Linked DNA regions of Drosophila melanogaster. The protein of the gene in region 1 interacts with the protein of each later gene in a pairwise test. Each region holds a gene or a part of one and is shown on either strand. Other genes may lie near its edges.

Evidence for each region.
Region 2: the proteins of Tsf2 (region 1) and CG32264 interact in a two-hybrid assay, tested with the Drosophila melanogaster proteins (one large-scale study listed by BioGRID).

The regions. Positions count from the first base shown.
Region 1 is NT_037436.4:12,529,650-12,535,580, forward strand, and holds Tsf2 (transferrin 2), read right to left. Parts: upstream 4,076-5,931; 5' UTR 3,964-4,075; coding exon 3,903-3,963; intron 3,830-3,902; coding exon 3,402-3,829; intron 3,323-3,401; coding exon 3,189-3,322; intron 3,124-3,188; coding exon 2,963-3,123; intron 2,904-2,962; coding exon 2,452-2,903; intron 2,389-2,451; coding exon 2,224-2,388; intron 2,158-2,223; coding exon 1,099-2,157; 3' UTR 787-1,098; downstream 1-786. Other genes in the region: nst (nesthocker), read right to left, coding at 286-386; CG34242 (uncharacterized protein), read left to right, coding at 4,418-4,594; Pmm2 (phosphomannomutase type 2), read left to right, coding at 5,006-5,770; CG4069 (uncharacterized protein), read right to left, coding at 5,863-5,931. UniProt on the Drosophila melanogaster protein: Iron-binding protein and component of septate junctions that form the paracellular permeability barrier in epithelial tissues.
Region 2 is NT_037436.4:3,784,755-3,789,747, forward strand, and holds the start of CG32264 (uncharacterized protein), read right to left. Parts: upstream 3,207-4,993; 5' UTR 2,803-3,206; intron 1-2,802.

The DNA.
Region 1 (5,931 bases):
GCGTCAGTATGTATGCACATATGCACATGCACGCACACTTACGCACATACAGGCAGACATAACGGCGAAAGAAGGGCATGTCCATTGATAAAAGGTGAACAATATCTAAAAATAAACGCCAAATTCCAACATCACAGCCCTGCAACCGCCCATTTATCAAAAAAAAAAAAAAACCACCAACAATCGCCGTGTGCTAATCAAATGCGCCAACGTGTGCATCGTGTGGGTGTGTTAGCATAATGATTATGATGATTATTAAGATCGTTAATGGAGGCAACTACTCACTTGCCGCGAAAGCCAGCTGTTCCATATTGGATGGTCTCCTTGGAGGTCTTTGGGTACATCTCGCGGGCGAAGGCGTAGACGGTGCGCAGGTTAATAGACATCTTGCGATACTCGAGGGCGGTGCCACTGGTCCAGAGCGAGGTGAAAGGTTCCGTCCGGTTTTTCCGGACTTTCGAAATTTAACAATTCCACAGATGTGTGCAGGCGGGTGTGACCGTCGTTTCGCGGCACTGTTCCACCCTTGCTTATGCGGCCAAGCGGTCACACTGCGCTGAAACTTGTAACTACGCTATTTTCTTTAATTTCAAACATTTTACTGGCTTTATAAACAATACAGAGTGTTTTAAGGTTAAATGCAATATTTACCAGCGTAAATTTCAATAACATCTATGTTTCAAAGCGATGTTAGCGCACATATTCAATTTGAATTTGGCGGCTACAATTGCGGTCAAGATATTAGGATTCTTCAAATGATACTAATTCAAAATAAGCAAAATAACTCCTTTATCTAGTTATTTTATTTGTATACTTACATAAGCGGTTGTAAAAGATTCGGCTTACATCTCCTAGGTACATTTTTTGGACGGTCTTAGTTGGTATGTACACAAACAAATACTATAATAAGGCACAGGACTTTATAAATTATAAACTATAGCCTTCAACAGATATTTTTCGGCTAGTTAGAGTTTCATTTTCGGACGGAAGGGATTTCACATTTAACTTAATCATATTTGGAATGTAAAAATGTTGATATGTTTTCTCTTTGTGCTAGAGATGCTTGTAGAATTCTGAAATCTAAGTGAGTCTAGTGGCTTAGAGCATTGCAACCAGCGAACCCACGAGGAGCAGGCCCACGGATAATGCCAACTGGGAGGCACCAGCATAGCAGTCGGTGATGCGGCGTGCTCGCATAAAATCGCTGCCCAAATAGGCATCATACCTGCGCTTATTGGGCGGAATTACTTGCAGCTGCCGCGTGGCGTCCTGGAAGATCAGATCATAGTGCCCGATCGGCGAGGAGAACATGCTGAAACTGAAGGCGTCCACTTCCTTGCGACCGTACAGTTGTTGGGCATAGGTCAGCAGATTGATGTAGGCATTCATCTGGGTCTCGTTGTAGTTGACTCCGCCGCGGGTGACCACAGCATTGGCCTTAACCTTGCCCAGATTGCAGCGCTTGTAGTCCTGGATCTCGGCACGAGTACCATCCGTGCAGAGCAGCTCAAAGTCATCGTTTAGGGCATTCCTGGCCCACCATTCCTTGCGTTTGCCGCCCGTGCTTTCCATCACCGTGGTGTGCTTCATGAAGGCCACGTGACCGCCGCCCTCGACGAGGCAACGGAATGCACCCGTGTGCCCGTAGTATTCCTCGGAGGCATCGCGACGACAATAGCGATAGCTAGTTCCATGACACAGATCGCACATGCTGTCGTAGGGCACACCGGTGTTGTACTCATTGCTAATGGCACCCGGCACGCACGACTTGGTGAAGTACTCCGCGGCAGCTCGAACCGAATCGCATCCGTAGGGACGAATCCAGCCGTTCGAGATGAAAAGCGCCATCGGATATGTCCAGCCAGCGGCGGTGTTAATGCCCGTATGGCAGGTATTCTTACCCTTCAGGTAAGTTAGCTCCGTATCGGGATCATCCTCCTTGGCCACGGCAACCACATAATACTCGGGCTCGCCCAGATTGTACACCTCCGACATGAAGGGCACCAGGTCGTAGTTGAGGCCACCAGTGTAGACATCGCCGGCATCGAAAACGGAGATGTCTGCTTTGCCCGCTTCGATGAACTGCATGCAGTTGATGTGGGAGTGCATTTTCTTGCAGATGAGTTCTGGTTTCAGGAGGTGAGCTTTCAAGGCAGTCTAAAAGTGTTTTTGTAAAGGATCATCAACTCATCTTGCTATCCATATATTCACTCTTCAACTCACCCTCATCTTGATGCATTTATCAAGCTCATTCTCCGAAGTCACGCAAAGCGTCATCGCTGGAACTGGACACTCACGGATGCCGTAGATAAAGTTAATGGCAGGGCCTAGGTACTTGGTAAATGACTGATCATCTTCGGGAATCACGGTTAGAGCGCGACTAGAATCCTGTCACAAAACAATTGAATGTTAAGTATGTATTTCGGATCACGGAAAATATGATCCACTTACCTGGAACAGCAAATTTGGCTTGCCATAGCGCTTCGACTCGAAGATGCGGAACTTCTCATAGAGTATGGAAGTGTTCGTGCCGTCCTGCTGGTTTCTTTCCTCTGCAAAACTGCTGTCCAATCGTTCGCTGCGATACTGATCGTATTGATTCTGCGTTCTGTACGGATCATTATTATCGAACTGGCCATAGGCATTCTGATCGTTGATGTTGTTGCGGCTGTTGAAGCTTTGTCCTCCCTGCCTGCTCTGATCATCACGTGTGCCATCGGAGTACAGCTCGGCAATGCGCTTCAAAAACTGCTGATACTGCTTGCGATCGCTGAAGCTGCGAGCCGAAGATGTGACAATGGCATCGGCGGGCACTTGGCCCCAATTACACTGGCGATAATCGTTGATGGAGGCACGACGACCATCACGACACAGCAGCTCAAAAGTGTCGGGTGCTATGTTCTCTAAAAAACGCAGCTTAGATCAGTAATGGGTTTTCAGAAGTTTCCCTTTGGTAACTCACTGAATTCGGTGGTTTGCAGCATTTCATTCACAGTCGAATGGCGCAAGAAGGCAACATCTCCTTTTTCAAGCAGACATTTGAAGGCGCCTTCGTAGCCGAAGTAGGGATCTGCAGATGAGCAGCGTCCTCCGGGTATCTTTCCAGTGCAAAGCGTACAAAGTCTGGTTTGAAAATTGATTTGTTGTTAGTTAATGTGTGTAAAATTGTGGCTTTTATGCGTCATTACTTATCGGAGTTGTCGCCAATTGGATTGTGTTTGTCGGAAAGCGAGTACACAGCACACGAATTATTGAAATAGCTGGCGGCCGTCTTCACCTGGTTGTTGCAGTCCACCACTTCCATGCCGCCCTCCCTTTGGAGCTGCAAAACGATAAAATTTGTTTGTTAGTTGCCTAATGAAACAAATAAACAATCAACTTAAAAGAGGAGTTCTACTCACCGTGTGAATGGGCACAATCCAACCGGCCAAGCTGCCCACCCAGGGGAAGCACACCCTCTTGTTGCGCATGTCGCGCAGATTGTTCAAGTCTGGTAGAGATCCCTTCTTGATCACGGCTACGGATTGATAGTCCGCAAAGCCGCCCTCCAGTTTCTCCTGCATAATGGGTATGAGGGAGTTGTACCGTCCAGCAGTGAAGACATCGCCCGCATCCAGCGTGGTGATGTGTGCCTTCTCGCGATCAATGTGATGGATGCACTCATCCGCACTGTAGGCCATGAAGCAGGTGAGATTGAGGAACACCTCGTCGAATAGTGCCCGATCCCGCTCGATGGCCACCGTAAGGTTCTGGCATTTGTACTGCTCCGCCTGGCTCTTGGTGCACCACACCATCCGTGTGGTCTTGTGCTCATCGTAGTGATGTTGTGCTGCAAAATCGTGGTTTTAACTCATGCCAACGCCCTAGAAATGGGCGACTTTCGTATTCCAGCCGCAACTTACCGTTAGCGAGCGTAAAACATAAGGCGCCGACTAGAGCCACAAAAACGAGGCTGCTAGCCATATTCGGGATATAAGAATATTAATAAGTGTATTAACTAAAAAGATCTATCTGCAAAAACAATTACTCAAACAAAACACCACACCCAAGCCCAGCTCAAGGAAGCCAGTGTAACCAGAGCGGGCAGAAATAGACATGATTTCAAAAAATACCAACAGGTACACACAGTGGAGAATGCTTAAGTGAGATATGAATCAAGAAACATATTTAGCATTCAGGATATTTCTAGTTTAATCTATACCTATATCTATTTTTATTATATATACAGTAATCTTGTTTATTTATATTTTACTTTCTATCAGGTTATCTCTTCTGTAGTATTTACTGCACTTCACCGGTGACCACAGTAGTGTGACCACACACTTGGCGTTTTCTAGCATCTTACGGTCAACCAGGTGTTTTGTGTTTTATAATAACAAACCGAAAAGTCAGCTAAAATATTCCATATTTTAGCTAAATGGCAGTCCTGCGTGGTTGGAGATTCGTTGGATTCGTGTCCTGCATCGTGGGCGCCGTGGGCCTCACCCTATACCCCGTCATTGTGGACCCCATGGTTAACACTGAGAAATACAAAACCCTGCAGGAATACAGCAAAATCAAGAGAGATGAACTGCAGCACATTAAAAGGCAGTAGAACCCCCTGTTATGCTACACTTAAGAACCCAAATATGTGTATTCTAGTTTGCCTGATAAAGAACTGCAATGTACAAATTGCTATTAAAATAGAAACTATTTGTACCCTGACAGCATGAACTCCATGAATTAAACTGTTACCTATACATGCAGGAAAATCCAAATGATTGTGCTTGAATGTTTATACTCTCATTGTTTTAAATAGTAAACCTAACGTAAAAGGCAATTCAAAACATTAATTTTGATTGCACTTGGATTCCGGAACTGGTTCCCCTTGCCGGTGCATCGAAAGCTTTAGGGGATTTCTCACCACTGCGTTGCCGCTTGTAAAATTCTTTATCTCGAATCATACGTGGACATAAATATCTGGATATTAAACACCTGCTGATTTACCACAAAATTTAAATGCAAAATGACCACCGCCGCATTGAAGCGTGATGAAATCCTGCTGCTCTTCGACGTGGACGGCACGTTAACGATGCCCAGATCCGTGGTCACTCCGGAGTTCGAGGAGTTCTTCTACTCGCGGGTTAAGCCGAGGGCGACCATCGGAATCGTCGGAGGCTCGGATCTGGAGAAGATGTTCGAGCAGCTGAATGGCAGGAAGATACTCAACGAGTTCGACTTCATATTCCCGGAAAATGGGCTGGTGCAGATTGAGGGCGGAAAGGAGGTGGGAAAGCAGAATATCATCATGCATTTGGGCGAGGAGACGGTGAAGCGTTTCATCAACTTTGTGCTGCGCTATCTGTCCGAACTGGATGTGCCCATCAAGAGGGGCACCTTTATCGAATTCCGGAATGGCATGATGAACGTTTGTCCCATTGGCAGGCAGTGCACTCGGGAGGAGCGCAACATGTTCGCCGAGTACGACATTGAGCACAAGGTGCGCGAGAAAATGATCAAGGACCTGAAGCAGGAGTTTGCCGATGTGGATCTCACGTACTCGATTGGTGGTCAGATCAGCTTCGATGTCTTCCCGCATGGTTGGGACAAGACCTACTGCCTGCGACACATCGAAGCGCACTACAAGTTCAAGGAAATCCACTTCTTTGGCGATAAAACGGAGCCGGGCGGCAATGACTATGAGATCTATAGCGATCCTCGAACCATCAGCCATAGGGTATATACTCCCAAGGATACGCAACGCATTCTCACCGAGATTCTGGAGCTGTGAGAATTTCGAGCTTACTCAGCAGTTGAAAATATTCCATTTTTATACATGTGTACAATTGTTAACCAAATTTAATATATAGTCACTGGAAATTCTTAATCCGTGTCCATGTCCGAGCTGCTGCTGGAGATATCCTCCTCGCTGCCACTGCACTCCTCGTCGGA
Region 2 (4,993 bases), 8.7 Mb from region 1:
AAGCCTCTCGGATTCATGGATTTTTCGTTTGAGAGGCGCCGCCGCCAGCCAAAAGCAATCAAATCCAATTAAATGCGAAAAAAAATCCTGAAAAAAACGCACAGATAAAAACGGTGGAAGCAGAACTTTTGTGTACAACAAAAAATATTGTTTATGTAAAAGCAGCAGCGTAAAAAAAACAAAAATATACCAATAACAACTTCCAGCACACGCGACTTTAAACAACAAATTTGTCGAACGCCGCAAGAAAATTTCAATGAACGAAGGAAAGGGGGGCAGAGATGGAGGAAGTACGGAGGCAGCAACAAACAGAAAAGGCAACAAAAACCGAAACAGCAGCAATGGCAAAACCAACAACAATCAGCTCTTTTGACCAGCAGCTGTCGCACAGTGGGATGCACAGTGGGCAATTAGGGGTGGATTAGCTATCAGGTGCAGAAATGGTTTGTTTAAGCTACAGAAAAATTCCTTTTTAAATGCCAATCTGCTAATATTAAATTGGGAAAATATTGCGATTGTGCACAGTAATACCTCCAATTGTCATACAACCCATTCCACTGTGCCCATGCAGCACAGTCCACAAGCACAAGTGTTCGGGGTTGCTGCTAATGGAACGCAATTCACAATTCACTGGGAATTCGCTATCTCTGTCTGCAGCACCCCTCTTTGTCGCTCCCCAGTAGCTCCGTCTCTTTCCGACGTTGCAACGACAATGGCAGCAACAAAAGCAAAACAGCGGCAGACAGCAAAAACCAATGGACAAAAACACAAACAAAACGGTGGACAAGAGTCGTCATCCTCCGCTGTTTTTGTTGTTTCGGCAAAACTTCTTTATCCCGGAGAAGGGAAAGAGATGGGCATATGAAGGGAGAAAGAGAGGGTGACAGAACGTTCGCATAAATTTAAAATTGCGCGCAAACGGCGCCCACAAAGCCAAACACCACAGTATGCAATTATCTAAGGAATTTTTAGTAAACTACATGGTAAACTGACGGGGATTCCAAAAATTTTTTATTTTAGTTGCTCAGCATGGTCACACTGTGCATTTCGGTTGAGTCAGCTGACTATAACAGCTGATGCTCTACAGTAAACAAAGAATTTGGAATCTCGAAAAATGTCCTGTTGTTTATAATTACACAATATTTCAATTTGTGTTTAATAGCTGGGTAATCCCAGAATAAACTAAGTGTAGTTTTTGTCTTGACTTCTTTTCTTATGACAGCCTTAGTTTCAATTAGGCAAGCACCACTGTCCGAAAACAACAAGGAAAGGCAATAAAAGGGAGCAGAGAATGCGTTTTGGGGGTTGCTGGATGCTGCAAAGGGGGGTGCTTCACAAAAGGGCCTGCCACTGCTGTGGGTGTGGGGGGGGGTCGAAAGTCGTCGCAAAGTGGAGTAAACTGAAGTCTGGAGCACAACAAAAAGCAGTAAAGGCGGCGGCAGAGGAAAATCCTAGGAGAGGGTGCGAAATCTCGCAGTATACACACCACTACCAGACTTTTCCTATACACATCTATGTACATACATATACAAATGGGTGGCACAACAAAAAAACGGAAGAAAAGCGAAGGAATCTGTCTAGACAACATTGTAAGTAGATAAAAATATTTGGTCGGAAAAATCGGGCGAGGAAATAATGAAATATGTAATTTCCTACACCGTACACCCATCTCTTTCTTTCCCCGCCTATCACTACTACCACTATCTCTTTCCGGCAGGTAATACCTTTTTTGATAAGGAAGCAATTGTAGCACATTTCTCTGCTATTTTTTTCAATTGCACCATCATTAAAATTGTGTTACGGATAAGATAACACAAGTTGGCGCTATATTTTCTTCACATATTTCCCACTTTTCGTGTGAAAATTCCATTTAGCGAGGCAGCGTGCCCCGTACACGCTGAATGAATTAATTTATTCATATTCAACATATTTATGCATTTGTGTAAACAAAAAGCAGGTGCCCGAAATTACTGTAAAGCGGTTATTGTTTACGCAAATGTTTGAATTAAGGAAAGAGAGAGTGAGACAGGTAACTGCTTATTTTTTTGACTGGTTTATTGTTATTTTCTGTTTATACTATTTTTATGACCGCTCTTTCCGCTTTTTTCAAATTCTTTTGTTATTGATTTCACTTTTCTGGATGGTTTTTTAAATACTTGAGATACAGTGGAGCTTTAAAATGGATAACTATTTATTTAAACTTTCTAGCACTTCAAATGATATGAGCATATGAGTTAATTATCTAAAGTAATTTTTAAAAGTTGTTTTCTAAATTAAATAATATAATGATATGATCAGATAATAGCTTCCTTCTTTACTGAGCGTTCACTGTGATCGAATTCACATGAAAGTATTTTTTTTCTTTGCACCTTGCGTATTTTGTTTTGCATCACCTGTCGCAGCTGATTTTTCATTCACACTATTTGTTTATCTACGATTATTATTTTTTTAGCTGCTCGTTAGCTGGTGAAATTCCCATAGAAAATTCATTAAAACCCAGCAAAGGAATTTTAGTTTTAGTTTCTCAGAGAGAATTCGATTGTTCGCTGGTGTGAGTGTGAGTGTTTTGTATGTGTGTGTTTAGTGTGTGAAGAGAGAAGTTGTAAAACCGGATTTTCCTTTTGGGCGCTTTCGTAGTTTTGTTGCCTTTTGCACTTTGCCTCGATCTTCGATTTTTAATAGCCACTTAAATTCGATATTGGGCTGTTAAAAAGTTACAACAATTTTCCTTTCTGCATTTTCTCTGCTTTTATTTTCTTTTCTCTGCTCTTGCATTTTGCACATCACTTGCTTTGCACTTACACTTGTTGATTATTTAATGTGCAATATTTTTATTGCGTTTACTTGCACTTTTTCGTATTCTTTACTCTTCTCAGCTGCTTTTCACTAATAATTTATTTAAATCAAACTGAAGCACGCACACAGCTGCACGTAGTTACGCACACACACGCACGCATACACTAAAAACGCCAAACGACGCGCCGGAAAAAACAACAAAAAGAACAACAACGAAGAGAGCGGCGAAACAACAAAAATCAAACGTTTCAAAATTCTCTTTCGCTTTGCACCGCGAAATTAAATCAAATCGAAACTTAAAAGATTGCCAATGCGATTTTGACCTAATGTTTATTGTGTTTTTTTTCTATTTCGAAGCGAGCGCGACGCTGTTTTTCCGACTTTACGATCCCCAATTGGCGTTCGATGTGCGTTCGTCTGCTCTCAAAAAAATTGTGACAAAAAATTGTTTATATGCCGCAGTGTGGCCAGCTGCTTAGCGGCCGATAAGGCCGAATTTGCACCGTTTCGCGGCATTTGTCGGCAGCGCGGTCACACTCGAGAAGAGAGCGGCTGGAAATTCAAAATTTAATTTGGCGCCAAACTCGATTTTATATCTATTAATAAATTTCTTGATAACATATCGTATTTACACGTGGCTATATAAACAGCATCGAAATATTATTACAAAGATAATATAGTTGTATCTTTGTTTTTAATCGAAATGGTCAATCTTTTTCAATATGATAAATATTTGGTTAATCATTAAGTCATATAAATCAAATTAATAAACGACGTTGAATCAAGTGACGAGTGAACTTCGTCTGCCTTTCATTTCACATTCACAGCAGTTGATTATAGGAACTCAAATTGAATTAGATTTGCCCATTGATTTGCATTTCGCACCCACAAATTCCGCCACCCGATGATAATTGCCAATTTGGGTGGAAAGCCGCCTCCTCTGGCGAGCTGGAAAATGTCGAAAAACTATTGAAAATCAATTTGCATTCCGCACCAGAAACATCCAAATAATGCGATACTAATTCCCCTCTCGAAAACTTTAATACCTCAAAATCCAATGAGGCAATCGGCAAATGAAAATCTTTTCGAGGGAAGCGAAAGAAAAACAAGAAGCAACCGCACTTCAAAAGCAATTTCACCTTGTTTTTCCAAAAACAAATACACACTGAACCAAAATTCAATTCACTAAACAATGGCGCAAGGCAAATCTCTTTTCGGCCATATATAACTTTTCGGTAAGGAATTTCCCAAACTGCTCTTCAAGAATTTTCACGAGTGGTGGCGTCTCCTATTTTTAGGCCCACTACAAAAACACCCTACAGTGAGCGCTCGGAAAAGTGAACTTTTAGTATAATCTTATATATAATAATATATAGAAGAACTAAATGGTAGATTTTCCCAAATTTTACTTTGAATTTGATAAGGAGTTTGAATTATTTTCTAGTTAGTTATATTAAGTCAAGTAAGTATTTACCTCATATATAGTTACAAATATTTATATACATAGTAAATATGTATATTTATATATGGCAAGTACTATTTTTATAAAACAGGAAACGGAAGTATCTTTCGCTCTAGTTGAAAATATTTAATGAGAGCTAAATATATAAATACGAAAAGGGGGGCATGGCAGGGGGAAAACTCAGCGCTGGAATTTTGTTGTTGCTCCAGAAATGCCGGCAAATGAAAAGCGCAGGTCCGCAAATGAAAAACAGAATGGAAAATTCAAAGAGAGAAAATTTTCAGGGAGAGAGCACAACAATAGCAGTTTGAGAGGCGCCGCAAGTTTGCGAAGCACTGCTTCAAGCAGTGCAATATTTACTGTTTATCGCATGCGAGAAATTTCTCGCCGATGTTTTGTGTGACTCCAAAACTATACGAAGAAAATTAATTTTGTAAATGATCGTTCAAATATATTTACGAACTTAATATTTAAAGAGACAATTTATAAGATTCAAATATTATGTTTAAATGTTTTCATTATTTATGGATAAATAAATTGGAAATCATATTTGCACATTATATTTTTATAAACAAATGGAGTTTGTGCTTAACTCATTTATGGTATCCAACATCTTTGGTAATACTATTTTAAAATAGTATTGTGCTTTTGAGTTCTCCCAACAGTTCAGCGTTTTATTCAATCGTCAAGGAAAGTTTTCCACCCACCGGAATAAAATTCCACTTCATTCCGAGC